3 linked regions of the Saccharomyces cerevisiae S288C genome follow. The gene in region 2 interacts genetically with the main gene of each other region. Each region holds a gene or a part of one and is shown on either strand. Other genes may lie near its edges.

The links.
Region 1: mutations in ELM1 (region 2) and VPS4 together harm fitness more than expected from each alone (negative genetic interaction), as found in Saccharomyces cerevisiae (5 studies listed by BioGRID, with this or other methods).
Region 3: mutations in ELM1 (region 2) and MIH1 together harm fitness more than expected from each alone (negative genetic interaction), as found in Saccharomyces cerevisiae (6 studies listed by BioGRID, with this or other methods).

What each region holds. Positions count from the first base shown.
Region 1 is NC_001148.4:885,718-890,267, reverse strand, and holds VPS4 (AAA family ATPase VPS4), read left to right. Parts: upstream 1-2,430; coding exon 2,431-3,744; downstream 3,745-4,550. Other genes in the region: DPB2 (DNA polymerase epsilon noncatalytic subunit), read right to left, coding at 1-1,294; CSA1 (Csa1p), read left to right, coding at 1,560-2,225; YPR172W (pyridoxal 5'-phosphate synthase), read right to left, coding at 3,870-4,472. UniProt on the Saccharomyces cerevisiae protein: Involved in the transport of biosynthetic membrane proteins from the prevacuolar/endosomal compartment to the vacuole. Required for multivesicular body (MVB) protein sorting.
Region 2 is NC_001143.9:345,918-351,128, forward strand, and holds ELM1 (serine/threonine protein kinase ELM1), read right to left. Parts: upstream 3,220-5,211; coding exon 1,297-3,219; downstream 1-1,296. Other genes in the region: centromeric DNA-binding histone H3-like protein CSE4, read right to left, coding at 158-847; ANR2 (Anr2p), read left to right, coding at 3,546-5,096. UniProt on the Saccharomyces cerevisiae protein: Important role in G1 events required for bud emergence and septin organization. Coordinates cell growth and cell division at G2/M, essential for efficient cytokinesis and for regulation of SWE1.
Region 3 is NC_001145.3:341,050-345,701, forward strand, and holds MIH1 (putative tyrosine protein phosphatase MIH1), read right to left. Parts: upstream 2,472-4,652; coding exon 807-2,471; downstream 1-806. Other genes in the region: IMP2 (endopeptidase catalytic subunit), read left to right, coding at 93-626; stress-responsive transcriptional activator MSN2, read right to left, coding at 3,354-4,652.

The sequences.
Region 1 (4,550 bases), on a different chromosome or scaffold from region 2:
ATAGGGTCGGTGGGTCATCATTTAATTTTTGCAAAATTTTGCTGAGTGCAGTCATAATTTTCAAATCATCTAGGAACAAATTTGCGCCGAGAATTACAAATTTATGATCTGTTAATTCTTTCTCCAAAAGGTGTAATCTAATCTTCAAATCTTTATCCAAACGAGCAATGAAATTGTTATTAGAAATGCCATGTATTCCTAAGAGATCGAGATTACCTATCGTTTCTAATGTAATTTCTCTTCTCTCACCAGGGGGTAAAGTCATGGAGGTAACATGGAATTTATTTCCTACAGAATAGTATATTCCTTCCACAAGAACCATGCAACCTGGCACGTAGTAATGGCCTTGTGTAGGGATAGTTTGGGAAATGTCAATTTCGACAGATCCAGACGGATCTTCCAGTGACCAATTGCCCTTAAAGTTCTTATTTAAGAGCCCCAATAGTAGAAAGTTTTGAGCATCCCTACCTAGTAGGTTTTTTATTGGGGTGATACTCATACTGCTGGATTGCTGCTGTCGGTTAGTATTGGACAGTTCATTTTGTAAAGACACCATAGATGATAATGGATTAAACATGTCACTGTTTTGGAAGTTTTCATTTCTCATGACTCTGTCGTTCGTGAGGTAATATCTTGTCAAGAACATTTGAACTTTGTCCTCTATATCTGGTAGAAAACCCGCAATGCCTCCTAGCCCATTCTGCTTTTTATTGGGGACGAAAATAAATTGCATTTTGTGCGGATTGTATGAGAATCTTTGTTGCTGAGAAGCATTGATAACTTTGAAGTAGTCCCTCCAGTCCAACGCCTTGGAGCTTTCTGGCTTGAAAGGCTGTTTATATTCATCTCTTTCGGTGGGCTGTCGCATGGGTGAAGATAATGAAACATTTTGTAAGGATGAATCAGCAGCGATCGGCATTTCATCGTCACTGTTGTTCTCATCGTCATCTGTCCGTCCCAAGATATTCTCCTCATGTTGAATAGGGTGTTCATGACTCCATTCGACTTTCTCACGTTCTTTCATCTCCTGTATAACTTCTTTAACCCCGCTCTGGTCGATGAAAAGGCCTCTTTCTTGTTGTTTCCATACTGCAGCAAATTGCTCGAGAAATTTTATTGTAGCAGGCCCTTGTCTCCAGTTAGCACCTATATTAGTGCCAACGAATTCTGCAAGAGCAGACAGTCCATCAGATTTAATTGATAAACCATATTTTCTTGATAAAACTCTATACGCCAGTGGCCTAAGCAGCGGAGGCTGAATTTTAACAGGCAGAACATTCCCAGAGCCAAACATTTCACACATAGACGCTTCTAGTTCCACTTACAAACTTTAAAGGCATAAACAAGTCATCTCAACTTTATTGTAACATGTGTTAAAGATGCCCAGTTGAAATATTTTTCTATTATGTCACGCGAAAAATAACGCGTCACATCACTTTTGTTCCTTTTGTCGTTTTTCTTCTTTTAGATTCCATCTTGAAAAGAGATGAAATGGACAAAGTAACATAATTTAGACCCAACAAAGTAAAAAGAAGGTTGGGTTGGCATTGAAGATCACAATGGGAATTCAGGAAAAGACATTGGGGATACGAAAAGAGCGCAAATTGGTGGTTGTGCCTCGCGAAAGAAATCATGTTAGACACGCTTCACAAAGGACACGTTCTAAAAACTACAAGAATATCTCCAAAAAGAGGGCTCAACAACACGCGTTTGGATTCAATATTGCTAAGACTCTTGCCAAGATCCAAGCGTTTGTATGGGGGTCTCCCGCAGATGAGGAAGAAGAAAGCGTTGTCCCATTGTCTAAAAATTCTCAGGATTGTGTGCCTCTACAATGGCAAGCAAAGTTTGCGCAATTGCGGCAGCAGCTGCACTCTACACAAAAGGAACTACAATTTGTCAAGGAAAAGTGTCATCTGTTGCAGTCGGTGTTGGACGACGCAAACATCGATCAAAGATACCTGGAGTCTCGTCGAGACATGAAAAATATTGAGCGAGACAACCTCAAACCGACAGAAAATTTACCACCTTCGCCAGTAAGAGCAGTAAACCCGTTAGTGACTTCAAGTCCGATTCACATGTCGCCACTCCAGTCGCGCCAACGACCAGTTTCTTCCCTACAGCCCCCAAAGGGCCCCAACTTCTACGCCAAGTATCCTAAGCTTCCTCAAACGAACATTCTCAGAGAATCTCCGACTGAGGATTCGGTTCCGCACGCTGAATAGAAACACAACACGTCATGGTTGTTCTTTCTGTACATCTATTTATTCTTGCTTGATGATATTTATTGTATTGCTTTACGGGTACCCCCGCTGGGTGAAAAAAAAAAAAAAATAAGAACTTCATGATATCGAACGATTTAATCGTGGGTTGAGGACATGGAAGACAAAAATAAAGCAGCATAGAGTGCCTATAGTAGATGGGGTACAAATGAGCACGGGAGATTTTTTAACTAAGGGAATAGAACTGGTTCAAAAGGCCATTGACCTGGACACAGCCACGCAGTATGAGGAGGCGTATACAGCATACTATAACGGATTAGATTATTTGATGTTGGCTTTGAAATACGAGAAAAACCCTAAGTCGAAGGATTTGATAAGAGCGAAGTTTACAGAGTATCTAAACCGTGCAGAGCAGTTGAAAAAGCACTTGGAAAGTGAAGAGGCAAACGCGGCAAAGAAATCTCCTAGCGCTGGTAGTGGTTCCAACGGTGGTAATAAGAAAATCTCTCAGGAAGAGGGTGAGGATAATGGTGGAGAAGACAACAAAAAGCTAAGAGGTGCCTTATCGAGTGCTATTTTGTCTGAGAAGCCCAATGTTAAGTGGGAAGACGTGGCTGGACTGGAAGGAGCCAAAGAGGCCCTTAAAGAAGCCGTTATTTTACCTGTCAAGTTCCCACATTTGTTCAAAGGTAACCGTAAGCCCACTTCGGGAATCTTATTGTACGGACCACCAGGTACAGGTAAATCATATTTGGCAAAAGCAGTGGCCACCGAGGCCAATTCTACCTTTTTCAGTGTTAGTTCCAGTGATTTGGTTTCTAAGTGGATGGGTGAATCTGAAAAACTTGTCAAACAGTTATTTGCGATGGCAAGAGAAAATAAACCTTCTATTATTTTTATAGATGAAGTGGATGCGCTAACAGGTACCAGAGGAGAAGGAGAGAGCGAAGCAAGTAGAAGAATTAAAACAGAATTATTGGTACAAATGAATGGTGTTGGGAATGACTCCCAAGGTGTTTTGGTCCTTGGCGCAACAAATATCCCATGGCAACTGGACAGTGCCATCAGGAGAAGATTTGAAAGAAGAATATATATACCATTACCAGATTTGGCGGCAAGAACCACCATGTTCGAGATTAACGTCGGCGACACTCCATGCGTATTGACCAAGGAAGATTATAGAACTTTAGGTGCAATGACTGAAGGTTATTCCGGGAGTGATATTGCTGTAGTGGTGAAAGATGCGCTAATGCAACCGATAAGAAAAATTCAAAGCGCGACACATTTCAAAGATGTCTCTACGGAGGACGACGAAACAAGAAAACTAACACCATGCTCTCCAGGTGATGATGGCGCCATCGAGATGAGTTGGACGGATATTGAAGCTGATGAATTAAAAGAACCAGATCTCACCATAAAGGATTTCTTAAAGGCTATCAAATCGACGAGACCTACCGTGAATGAGGATGACTTGCTGAAGCAAGAACAGTTCACTAGAGATTTTGGTCAAGAAGGTAACTAGTCAATTGATTAACGTGCTAATGTAGATTTCTTGTGTACATGAAAATAAAAAATAAAAAAAAAAAAAAAACAGAATAATTAAATACAGAATCGTATGCAAAATAGATAAAGAAAAGCAGAGGACAGTTAACTCTTCCCTTTACTTAGAAACATTGTTCTGTTCTCATTATTGGATACCCTAGCATTATCAATTCTAACTTTAACAACGGCGGTGTTCTTTTCAAATATAAAAGCTTTCGCATCAGGATTAGCCTTTAGTATTAAATCTTTATAGTACTTGGATTCTTCACTTTCAGGATTGACAATTTCGGTTTCGCCACCAATAGATGCGCTCATTTGGTTCAATTCGGCTTGATTTAACTCCTGTAACAAATTTAAAAGCTCGCTTTGACGTTGCTCTTCATGAGGAATAGAAGTCGGCGTCGGAGTCCCAGAGATGCTTTCCTTGCCCACTGACAAATTATTCGCGATGATCCAATCGTGAAACAACAGGGCGACCTTAGGGTTCTCCTTGATGTTGTAAAACTTTTGTGTGTCCTGAGGAGAAACAAATATAATGTAGTCATTCTTATTATCTGTTTGACCGAACAGTTTTTCACCTGGCACATAGATATAGTTCATCAATGCCACTGAAGGGATGCAGTCTTTAGAACAGGTGGCCACGTGAACATATTTGGAGTTTTTGATCAGGTTCAGTAGATGCGCTGGTAATGTACTAGTCCAAGCCATAATTGAGATGTTTCAGGGTTTGAATAGCCTGTAATTTTACTGCTATTTTCTAATAAGGGAGGAAAAGTGTAGCAAAAA
Region 2 (5,211 bases):
GAAAAAAAAACTGTCAACAGCGGAGAGCACTTGTCGAACCGAAAGGTATGCTAATATGACCTTATAATAACCTTATTTAAAACATTTAAAGTACCTTAAGTCAATATAAACCCCGAAAAAGGGAAAAATCGGCTCCAGCCCTGAAGCACAAATATCACTAAATAAACTGTCCCCTGATTCTTCTTGCTAGTTGCATGTCTTTCTTCATTATAGTAATTCTTTTTGCATGCAGCGCCAAGAGGTTTGTATGTTCCAATAATCCTACCAGATACGCTTCGCTTGCTTCCTGTAACGCCATAATCGCCATTGACTGCCAACGTAAATCCTGATCTTTAGTTGTAAACTCGTCTGTAACTTCTTTCACTAGCCTTGCAAATGGAATTTTGGAGATTAATAAATCCGTGGAACGTTGGTATTTTCGAATTTCGTACAGAGCTAATTCACTAGGAGTATATTTCTTTTCGACGCGCTTTAAGCTCTGCTTTCTTTGTTTTTCCCTCCTTTTCTGTCTAACATATCTGTCTAAGGCATATGAATGAGTTCGCACTGGTGCAGGTACTTCAGTTTCCATTTCAGCTTCTTCTTCATTTTCTGTCTCGATTTCTAGATTACCTGCTTGGTCTTCGTAGTCTGTTTCGATATCTAGGTCACTTTTTGAGCTTTCATAACGTCTTCTTTCCTCTCTTCTTGGAAACAGGTTCTTTGTCGCTCTTGTTCTCTGCAATAACGATAACGCACGATCGTTAATAGATTGTTGGTCTCCTGCAAGCCTGTTGACGTTACTGAGTGATCTTCCACTCGAATCACTTTGAATAGCAGAACTAACCCATTGTTGTTTACTTGACATGATTATGTTATATTAGTATTCTTTCTATATTCAGTCCTTCTTCTGTTTTTTATAAAGTAAATTCTCAAGATTATCTACTACTGTTTTTAAGAGATGTTTTCTCAATATTTATCGATGAAGTTTTGTTTTTCTTTTGTTTTCAATTTACTTCCGCGATTTCGCGACACAGTGGGATCAAGATAAATCATATCGTTCGATATTCTCGCAATAGAAGACCACTAAACTCTCAATTGATAAATGTTGATGTCGATTTCAATTATCAATGATGGTATATTATGAATATTATCTTTAGTGTTATTAATACAAATGCAAATGTGGGTAATTTGCCGTTTCTATATATATATTTATGTATTTACCATAACCAAGTAAATCAATTAATAATCATATTTCACATCGGCTATACGATTATCAGCTAACCCAATCCGACAGATATCATCCTGTAGTTTCATCTATATTTGACCATTATCTGCAAAGTTCAGATACGTTTTTACATCTTCTACTGTTTCTCGAATGTCACTATCTTCCGAATTTATGTATGCTTTAAAGTTGAGAATATTACTTGAATGAGCAAGCTTTCTAGCCCCTGAATTGTTAACCGTGCGCTTTCCAACAGTCCTATCCATTAGTGGGGAACTCGGTTTGTCCTGTGAGCAATTAATATGGGTTCTGTTCCCGTTCTCTTTAGGGGAACTCTTTAGTCTTATCATGGCTTTGATAGGTGTTGGGATTTTCAATGACGAATGAGAGGATGACTCGCTTCTGTCAGTTTTCATGTCCGAATTCTGCTTATCATTATTCACAGTCAAATTAGGTAAGCTTTCATTTGACCTACAAAAAGTATCTAAGAAATCCGTAACCTGAATGGCTTCCTCCCCTAACGATGAACAATAATCGCTCGAGTCTGGCGAAGATCTAAGGACCGTAGTCGAAAAACATTCTTTATCCGGTTCCTCGTCGATATGTATCGAAGGTGTTACTTTACTAGTTGCAGATACCAATACCTTGTCTTTCCCTTTTCCTGAGGTCTTTTTCTTTCCTTTTTTAGTCAGTAGCCTACCAAAAAATCTTCTTACAGGACCTTCGTTTCTTACGGGGTTCACACTGGACGATGAAATTTGACTGTGATTCCTAGAATCTATGGGCTGGTCACGCGACAAAACCTTTACTAAATCCTGAATACTTATGCGTAAAGTAACGTCTTTCTCCAATAACCTTTTAATGACTAAATCGTTTAAAGTATTACCATTTATTTTGGAACTCAATGATACTTCGATGATTTTGTGGTAGGTTTCGAATTCATTTTCCCCGAAAAATGGCAGCTCGTTGTACAGTAAGCAGTATAGTGTCACTCCCAATGACCAAATATCCAACTTAAAGCCATCCGTCACAAAATCTCTTTTGGAATTGCCCAAATGACATAGCTCTGGTGCAATAAATGCCGGAGTACCAACAATTTTGTTCAATTCCCTCTGAAAACAATCTTCAAAATTAGCATCGCTGAAAGGTAATGATTGGGGAGTGAAAATACAACTTCCAAAATCAGAAAGTTTCGCTACTTTTTCTTCTTCATCCAATAAAATATTGGACGGTTTGATATCACGATGAATACAACCCTGAGAATGCAAATATTCCAACCCTTTTGTCATATCCTCCAGGATTTTTTTGGCAAATGTAGAAACACTACAATTTGAAATCACAATTTTTTTCCATTGCGGTAAAATATCTTCATCATCGTCACGTTTCCACTGTAGTTCACCAAGGCTGCACCAATTAGTGACTATCCAGATAGATTCGCTGAAAGGAGAGTCCAAGCATTCTATTAGTCGCACAATATGAACATTATTTCGAAGTCTTGAAGCCGCAAAAATTTCCCACCTACATTTTTCGATATTCATAAGTCTCATAGCCTCATTACCACTCATATTTGTCGTTATTTTTCCTTTACTCTTCCAAAGCTGGATTTGCCTCATTACTTGATTTACTGAATATTGCTGGGCATTCCAAGGTTTTTTTGGTATAATCTTGACAGCAACAACCTTGCCTAAAGTAGAACTGTACGCTTTTCGTACATAACCAAATTGTCCACTTCCTGCAGAGACTCCTAGCGTATATTGGTTTATAGTTTTCTTATCTTGGTCACTAACAGTTATTTTTTTCACATATGGTCGAATTTCATCCAGGATCGTGTGTATATTTTCTCCTATAATTGTACTATAGGTTGGTTTCTGTTGAGAAAAAGAAGAACCAAATGAAGATGTCTGGCTCGTAGGCGTTATCGGGGGACTATCTAACTCATCCTCTCTTATGCACGATTGCTGGGATAATGGTGCCCATTCCGGAATTAATGTCGGTATAAGCTGTCGAGGTGACATTTCATGCTAAGTAATTATTGTTAACCTGGCGTTCAAAAAATAATATCTATGCGAGTAAGTTTGTAACACCTAAAGAAGTATCATCGGGGGGTTTTCAAGGCCAAATTAGTTCATAGGACTAGAGACTGTTGCATTGTTTATTTGTTGCTACCTCATCATTCACAAATTATACGTTTAAAGTGATGTAAAATCATGCTATATACTAATTTGGCATAACCTCTGTTGAGCGGCATCATTTAATGATTTACTTCTATTTTAATAATTACTTCATTTCGAACAACTTAATAGCTACTTCAAGAAGGATCAAGTAAGTTCCTCGAAGCACTATGAATTCCGGAGGTGAAGAACCAACTATAAAGCCAAATGTATTTAATATTACTCAACTTTTAAACTCAAATGGTGAAAAACCGGGAATTGCTTGCATCTTCTTAAGTAAATTTGACATGAAAAAGGGAAATATCATAATATGGTCTAAAAGTATTAATGGTGCGGCAATTGACTTAAGCAATATTGAATTTAAATCGTTACCAGCCGGTATTCACGAACAAACTGACGATGTTGTCAATTTTGTAGTTCCTAAAGAATTAGATGTCTGTCAAACTGCCAAGACGACAACTTATGATTACGGCATCGCCTATTTCAAACAAAATTCGTTCGATATTATTGAGAATGACAATCGTATTGATAGGAGTAAAGTTCAAATGTTTTCTCTTGGTGTAATTATCGATGTCCAAAATGCCTCATCAGATAGTAAAAAGCACTTTTATAAGGAAATATACCATGCGTATGCTGCCAACAGATACTCAAGCTATCTAGAAAGTTTACTCGGTCAATGGATAAGGCAGCGTGATCTTGATAAGTTTGATATTTTTGAAAAGTTTTTTGACGAGAATAACCAAGGGCACATGGCTGAAAATTCAGTAGAAGTCTTTGAACATTCACCCAAAGAAAGACGGCATTTGGTTGAATATTTGCCATACTGGACAAGGAAGTTAGGGCCTCTCATATTTCCACTTTGGAAAGCAAGTCTCCTTCAGTCAAGGATATTGATACTAGTTCCTCAAGGAGAATCGTTCGAATTGTGCAATTCTTTGGCCTATTGTGTCTTCTTAATATCAATGCTTCCAAAAAACTTGATAGGAAACCATGTAAGCGATGAATATATTAAGCCTATTTTCACGGTATCAACATCAGATATTCCTTTTCTAGAGTCGTTCAAAAAGGGGAACGGTTATGTGGCTACGACCAGCGAGGAAATTTTGTTGTATAAGCCTGAAATTTACGACATAGTAGTCAAACTTACTTCGAGCTCAACTATAGAAGAATCACCAGAAAAAGAAGTGGAAATTCTTACCGCATCTGGTGAACAAAACAAAGCAACTCCTCTTGACTTAGAGGTGTATGAAAAACTTATACTGGGGGAGTTACAAGAGGATGCCTCTACAAATGCGACATGTCGACATCATGAGGTGACAGAACCCATATCATGGCTACAGTTTTTAATTGATGGGTTTTTTCTTTTAACTACTGCAGGCTATCTGGTAGCGCCATATCACCTTGCAAATAATTTCAAGATTCCGAGGCACGTTTCTGGCCCAGAACCCAACAATTCAGAAATACAGATCGCTGAAAATTTAGTTCGCTATTTTCACCGCAGAACATCAAATCTGTACAACGATCTGAAGGATGTCATACAAAAAAGTGAAAATATTGATTCAGAACAACCGATTACTATCGCAGCTTCATTTTTAACCAAGTTAAATTTGGATTGCTTTAGCAAACAAGATCATCAATTCGTCAAGGATATCGCCCTTAAATGGTTCCAAAGAAGCATTGATATTAGCAACCTACCAGAATGTTTGGGAAATCTCTGTTAACCACTAGAAACGAGCTAGATCATGTGAGAGAGATAGTATATGTCTTTGTAACTGTATTTTATATTTATATGTATATGGTGAATTTTACTTAAATTCCTTGGTAGATTACATACAC
Region 3 (4,652 bases), on a different chromosome or scaffold from region 2:
AAAAACAAGTGCCTTAATTGAATGACTAGATGGGTGCTTGTTAACGAAGGCGTGCTGCTATTCATGAAGCTGTTGCATTGTACTGTACAGTAATGTTTCGAGCCGGATCATCAAAAAGATTCTTACGAAACACACTAATAGCAATTTCATGGGTTCCGGTACTTCTAACAATCAATAATAATGTGGTCCATATTGCGCAAGTTAAAGGTACCTCTATGCAGCCTACGCTGAACCCGCAAACGGAAACGCTGGCAACAGATTGGGTGCTGCTTTGGAAGTTTGGAGTCAAGAACCCAAGTAATTTATCTAGAGATGACATTATCCTTTTCAAAGCTCCTACAAACCCTCGGAAAGTTTACTGCAAAAGGGTTAAAGGTTTACCGTTTGATACCATTGACACGAAGTTTCCATACCCTAAACCTCAAGTGAACCTGCCCAGGGGACACATATGGGTCGAAGGGGACAATTATTTTCATTCGATTGATAGCAATACTTTTGGCCCCATTTCCAGTGGGTTGGTCATAGGGAAAGCTATAACAATTGTTTGGCCACCCTCCAGGTGGGGAACGGATCTCAAACTGAGTACCGGTAGAGACTGCATTAGCAAAAGAGCCATTTTAGAATGAAAATCAGCTTATTTTTATGAATTTAGAAGTGACCCCGGTATTCAAATGCAAATTTTTTATATTATGTGATTAATCTAATGCAATAAATATAGATGATTGTGATTTATGTATTGATGTTGTTGCCGTTCGGTTCCTGAATATATACTTCTTTTTTTCATAATACTTCATGCACATGTAGTATCATTTTTTATCTTCAGTCTCTAGAGAAGGGAATAACGATCTTCTTGCGGGCCTGGGTAAATCTTCTCGGTCGGAACCAACGAAAGTAAAATCTCCGTCTTGCTCTTCATCTCCACTTACTTGCTGATGATTGCCTCTCTCATCTTCGAAACTAAAATATGATGGGGTATCCAGTCCGTCCATTAGTAGCATATGTGAAGTGCTTAGGTTACTGTTACTACTCATAGACGACTTACTTAAGATGGGGAAGAAATTTTCGTCGCCTGTACTCTCACTTGAATTTAATGATGAACCACTAGAGACTCTTCTGTGGTTTAATGACAGCTTCGGAGGCGGCTCAAACCTGAACGATAGTGCAGAAGATGCCATTGTTGTTGAAGATTGATGGCTATCTCTATAAAAGAAGTTAGGATTTGAAGGGGAAGCTAGTTTTCTAAAAGAATTATTTTTAGTAGCAAATCTTTTAGATTCTCTCCTAAACTTATCCATTTCTTGTTCACAATTCAGCAAATTTTCTTGTGAGTTCATTCCCACGTACTGACGTGGATAACATAGTTCAGGAAAATTGTCAAAAACAGCTTTGTATCCGCCATCCAATATCAATATGTCGGGATAGAATAATTTGGGATAATGATCCTGATTTATTATACGATCACAATTTCTCAAATGAGAGGCCAATGAAGGTCCCCGGTGGGAACTAAATTCGCAATGGATAATTAAAAGAGTTGGTAGAGTGTTGTTGTTGCTAGTATCGCTATGCAAAACTTTATGGATAAATTCGTACTCTAACTCATCTCTCGAGTGTATGTTAACGGAGTTTATTATGTGGCCGCCAGTATATTCGTATTCAAACCGACAATCTATAATACGACATGAATTATAAAATGACTCGCACATATTATTCTGCAGAATATTTTTCAACGTTTCTGGAGAAATTCGAGGGAAAAAGTCATTTGAGTTACGATCGTCATAATAATATGGTATCTGTGTTTTGGCTAGGCATGATTCAAAACATTTCACCCCTACCGAATTAGGAGCTAGTGGACTGGATGACGCAGACGTGAAGTTCAAAGTATTCTGAGTAATGTTAGAAAATTTCTGTGAACTTTTTCTCGATGACCTCGGAATTTTCCCATCTTGCCGTTGCACCCTCCTGCTTGAATTGCTACTGCTATTCATGCTTGGCTTTCTCGACAAGGACCTTGACCTTGAAAAAGAGCTCGACCTCTGGGGACTGCCAGGATACTTGATTCTACTTAAAAGATCATTATCCCTATTATTGGTCAAAGATCTTCTTGATGAGTTTCTTGTTGGACTTTGTAAGGTTTGAGAAGCAAAATGCATGCTTAAGACTATATCATCATTTTCATTTTCATTTTCATCTAACTCATCGCGATGGCCAAGCTGCTTTATATTCGGTGAAGGACCATCAATTTCCTTACTCCTGTGATTTGTTAACAATGGAGATTTATCAAAGGCAAGATTCTCTTTATTGATTAAATCATCGTCGACATTCGAATGTTTGCTTTTTGACTTAAAGAAGGTCTGAACATTTCTAAATATGTTCTTCTTCTTACCAAAGGGACTTTTCAAGGAAATTTTTTGGAAACTAAGAACGTCTTCATTGGCACATTCATCTTCAGTTCCATGAAATATATTGTTCATGGTTTCTTCACCCTCGCTGACTTCAATCCTGGTTTGTCCACTGCTCTGTTTATCTTTTGTCTCCTTTCAAGTTAACTCTCTTTTCTTTGTTTTCGCTTGTAACTTTAAGTTTTCTGATATACGGCATCGAAACAGGGAAAAAACAGATAAAGCATAAAAAAGAAGGAAATAACAGAGTGTAACTGTTGGGGAAATATCATAATGAGAATATTTAAACGCCGGAACAATGTATCAAAAAGGGCTTTACCGCTAATAAGTGGAGTATCTATGCTTTTTTGACGTATACAATGGACAGAAAAAGCGCCATATAAAACATTGAAGCCCCTCTTCATCCTTAGTCCTGAAAATGAGGCCTAGGAAATTAAGTATTCGGCAAAGATACATAATACAGTTCTAAAAGTAGCAAACTGGTAGATACTATTTGTGGCGCAGTTAGCTACCCCAAAATAAAAACGGTAATCTTCTCCCATTAGGGGCACCCCTCTTGCTTTTGTACGATGTGGTATCTTCGATTTTCAAACTGACAGGCATATTGCACAGCATAATGCGCACGGAATTCATTAAACTGTACGGATATATATATGATATTACGGTGCCATATGATATTATACAATATTATACTGTACTGTACTATATTATATTATATTGTATTAATTATATTATACTATACCCTATCATACCAAATATTTTGGCTATATTAATTTTTATCTACGTGTATCTAAGTTGTTACAGGCGGGGGAACTGAATTCCTTCAAAATGTGAAGGTACCGGAAAAATGGCAAAGAATCATGATAATAATAACAATAAGCCGTAAGCTTCATAAGTCATTGAACAGAATTATCTTATGAAGAAAGATCTATCGAATTAAAAAAATGGGGTCTATTAAATGTCTCCATGTTTTTTATGAGTCTTGATGTGTTGCGACAAATTATCGCTTCTACTAAATTTCTTATCGCATATGTGACAAGCAAATGGTCGTTCGTTAGAGTGAACAGATCTCACATGCCTTTTCAAATGTTCGCTGCGCTTAAAGCTCTTGGGACAAATGTGACAGTGGAACGGTTTCTCCTCGAGTTCCTTTGTTGATTCTATTACGACACTTGATCTTCTGGACGGTGTCATTGATTTTCTCCTGTAACTTGGCCTTCTTTCCTTCGTAACCCCAGCACCATTGCCAGTTGAGTTGACACTACTACTGCTTATATTATTTTGTTGATTTGTAAGCGGCACCGTACCCATCAAAGGCACAGCAGACTTCCGCCTCCGAAGGGAAGAACCGATTTTAGAGTTCATGGTATGGTGACCCTGCTGTGGGAAATGGTGATAGAAATGATTTGTTGCAAGAGACGTGGAGGATGATGATGCAGGCGATAATGGAGCCATATTCATTTGAGTGATGGAAAGATCGAAATTTGGAGTAGAATTAGCATTTTGTTCACCTTCCTCTGTCAAAAATGGCATATCATTACTCAAGCCTGTAGTCGCCACTTTCGCAATAACGGACGCATTGTCTGAAAGAATCATAGACGGTTTGATAAATTGTTGAGATGAACTCAAATTTGAATTCGGCAGCATATCGTTCTTGGGGTCTTCATCCTGCTTATTAACCAGGTCGTAGCTTAGTGAATCATCGATTATGGGTAAAGAAGCTCTTTGCCTTCTTGAATAAAGATCGCTGTTGAAGGATTTCATGTTAGTGCTACTGTTATTATGTGACGAGGTGAGCTGCTTGTGTTGAACTCGGTTTAGCTGTTGCTGTAATTGCTGACTTGGATTTATCTTTGTCATAGCATTGGCATCAAAAGAACTTGGGCAAGCAGATTTGTTCTTGCCAGAAGTGGATGTGCCCAAATTATCGTTGAAGTTCATATTATATTCGTTAAGAATCTGTGTCAACTCATTGTCTATGGTAGCGTCATTGTTTTTCGGGTTGCCAGCAATATTTGAGTCTGCATTTGCGTTCATAGTAGTGGTATTCGGACTTGCATTGGAACTTGAGGTAGAATTAGTAGTGATATTGAGATTTGTATTTCTATTGCTTGGATTAATTTTCGGATGGTTCCAAAGGTCCAAAGAGTGAGAAATAGAATTCCTCGAATTTGTCATTGACGGAAATTGGTTTGTTATAACGTCGCTAAATCTTCGGCGTGATAAATTAGTGTCATCATCATCATCATTCAA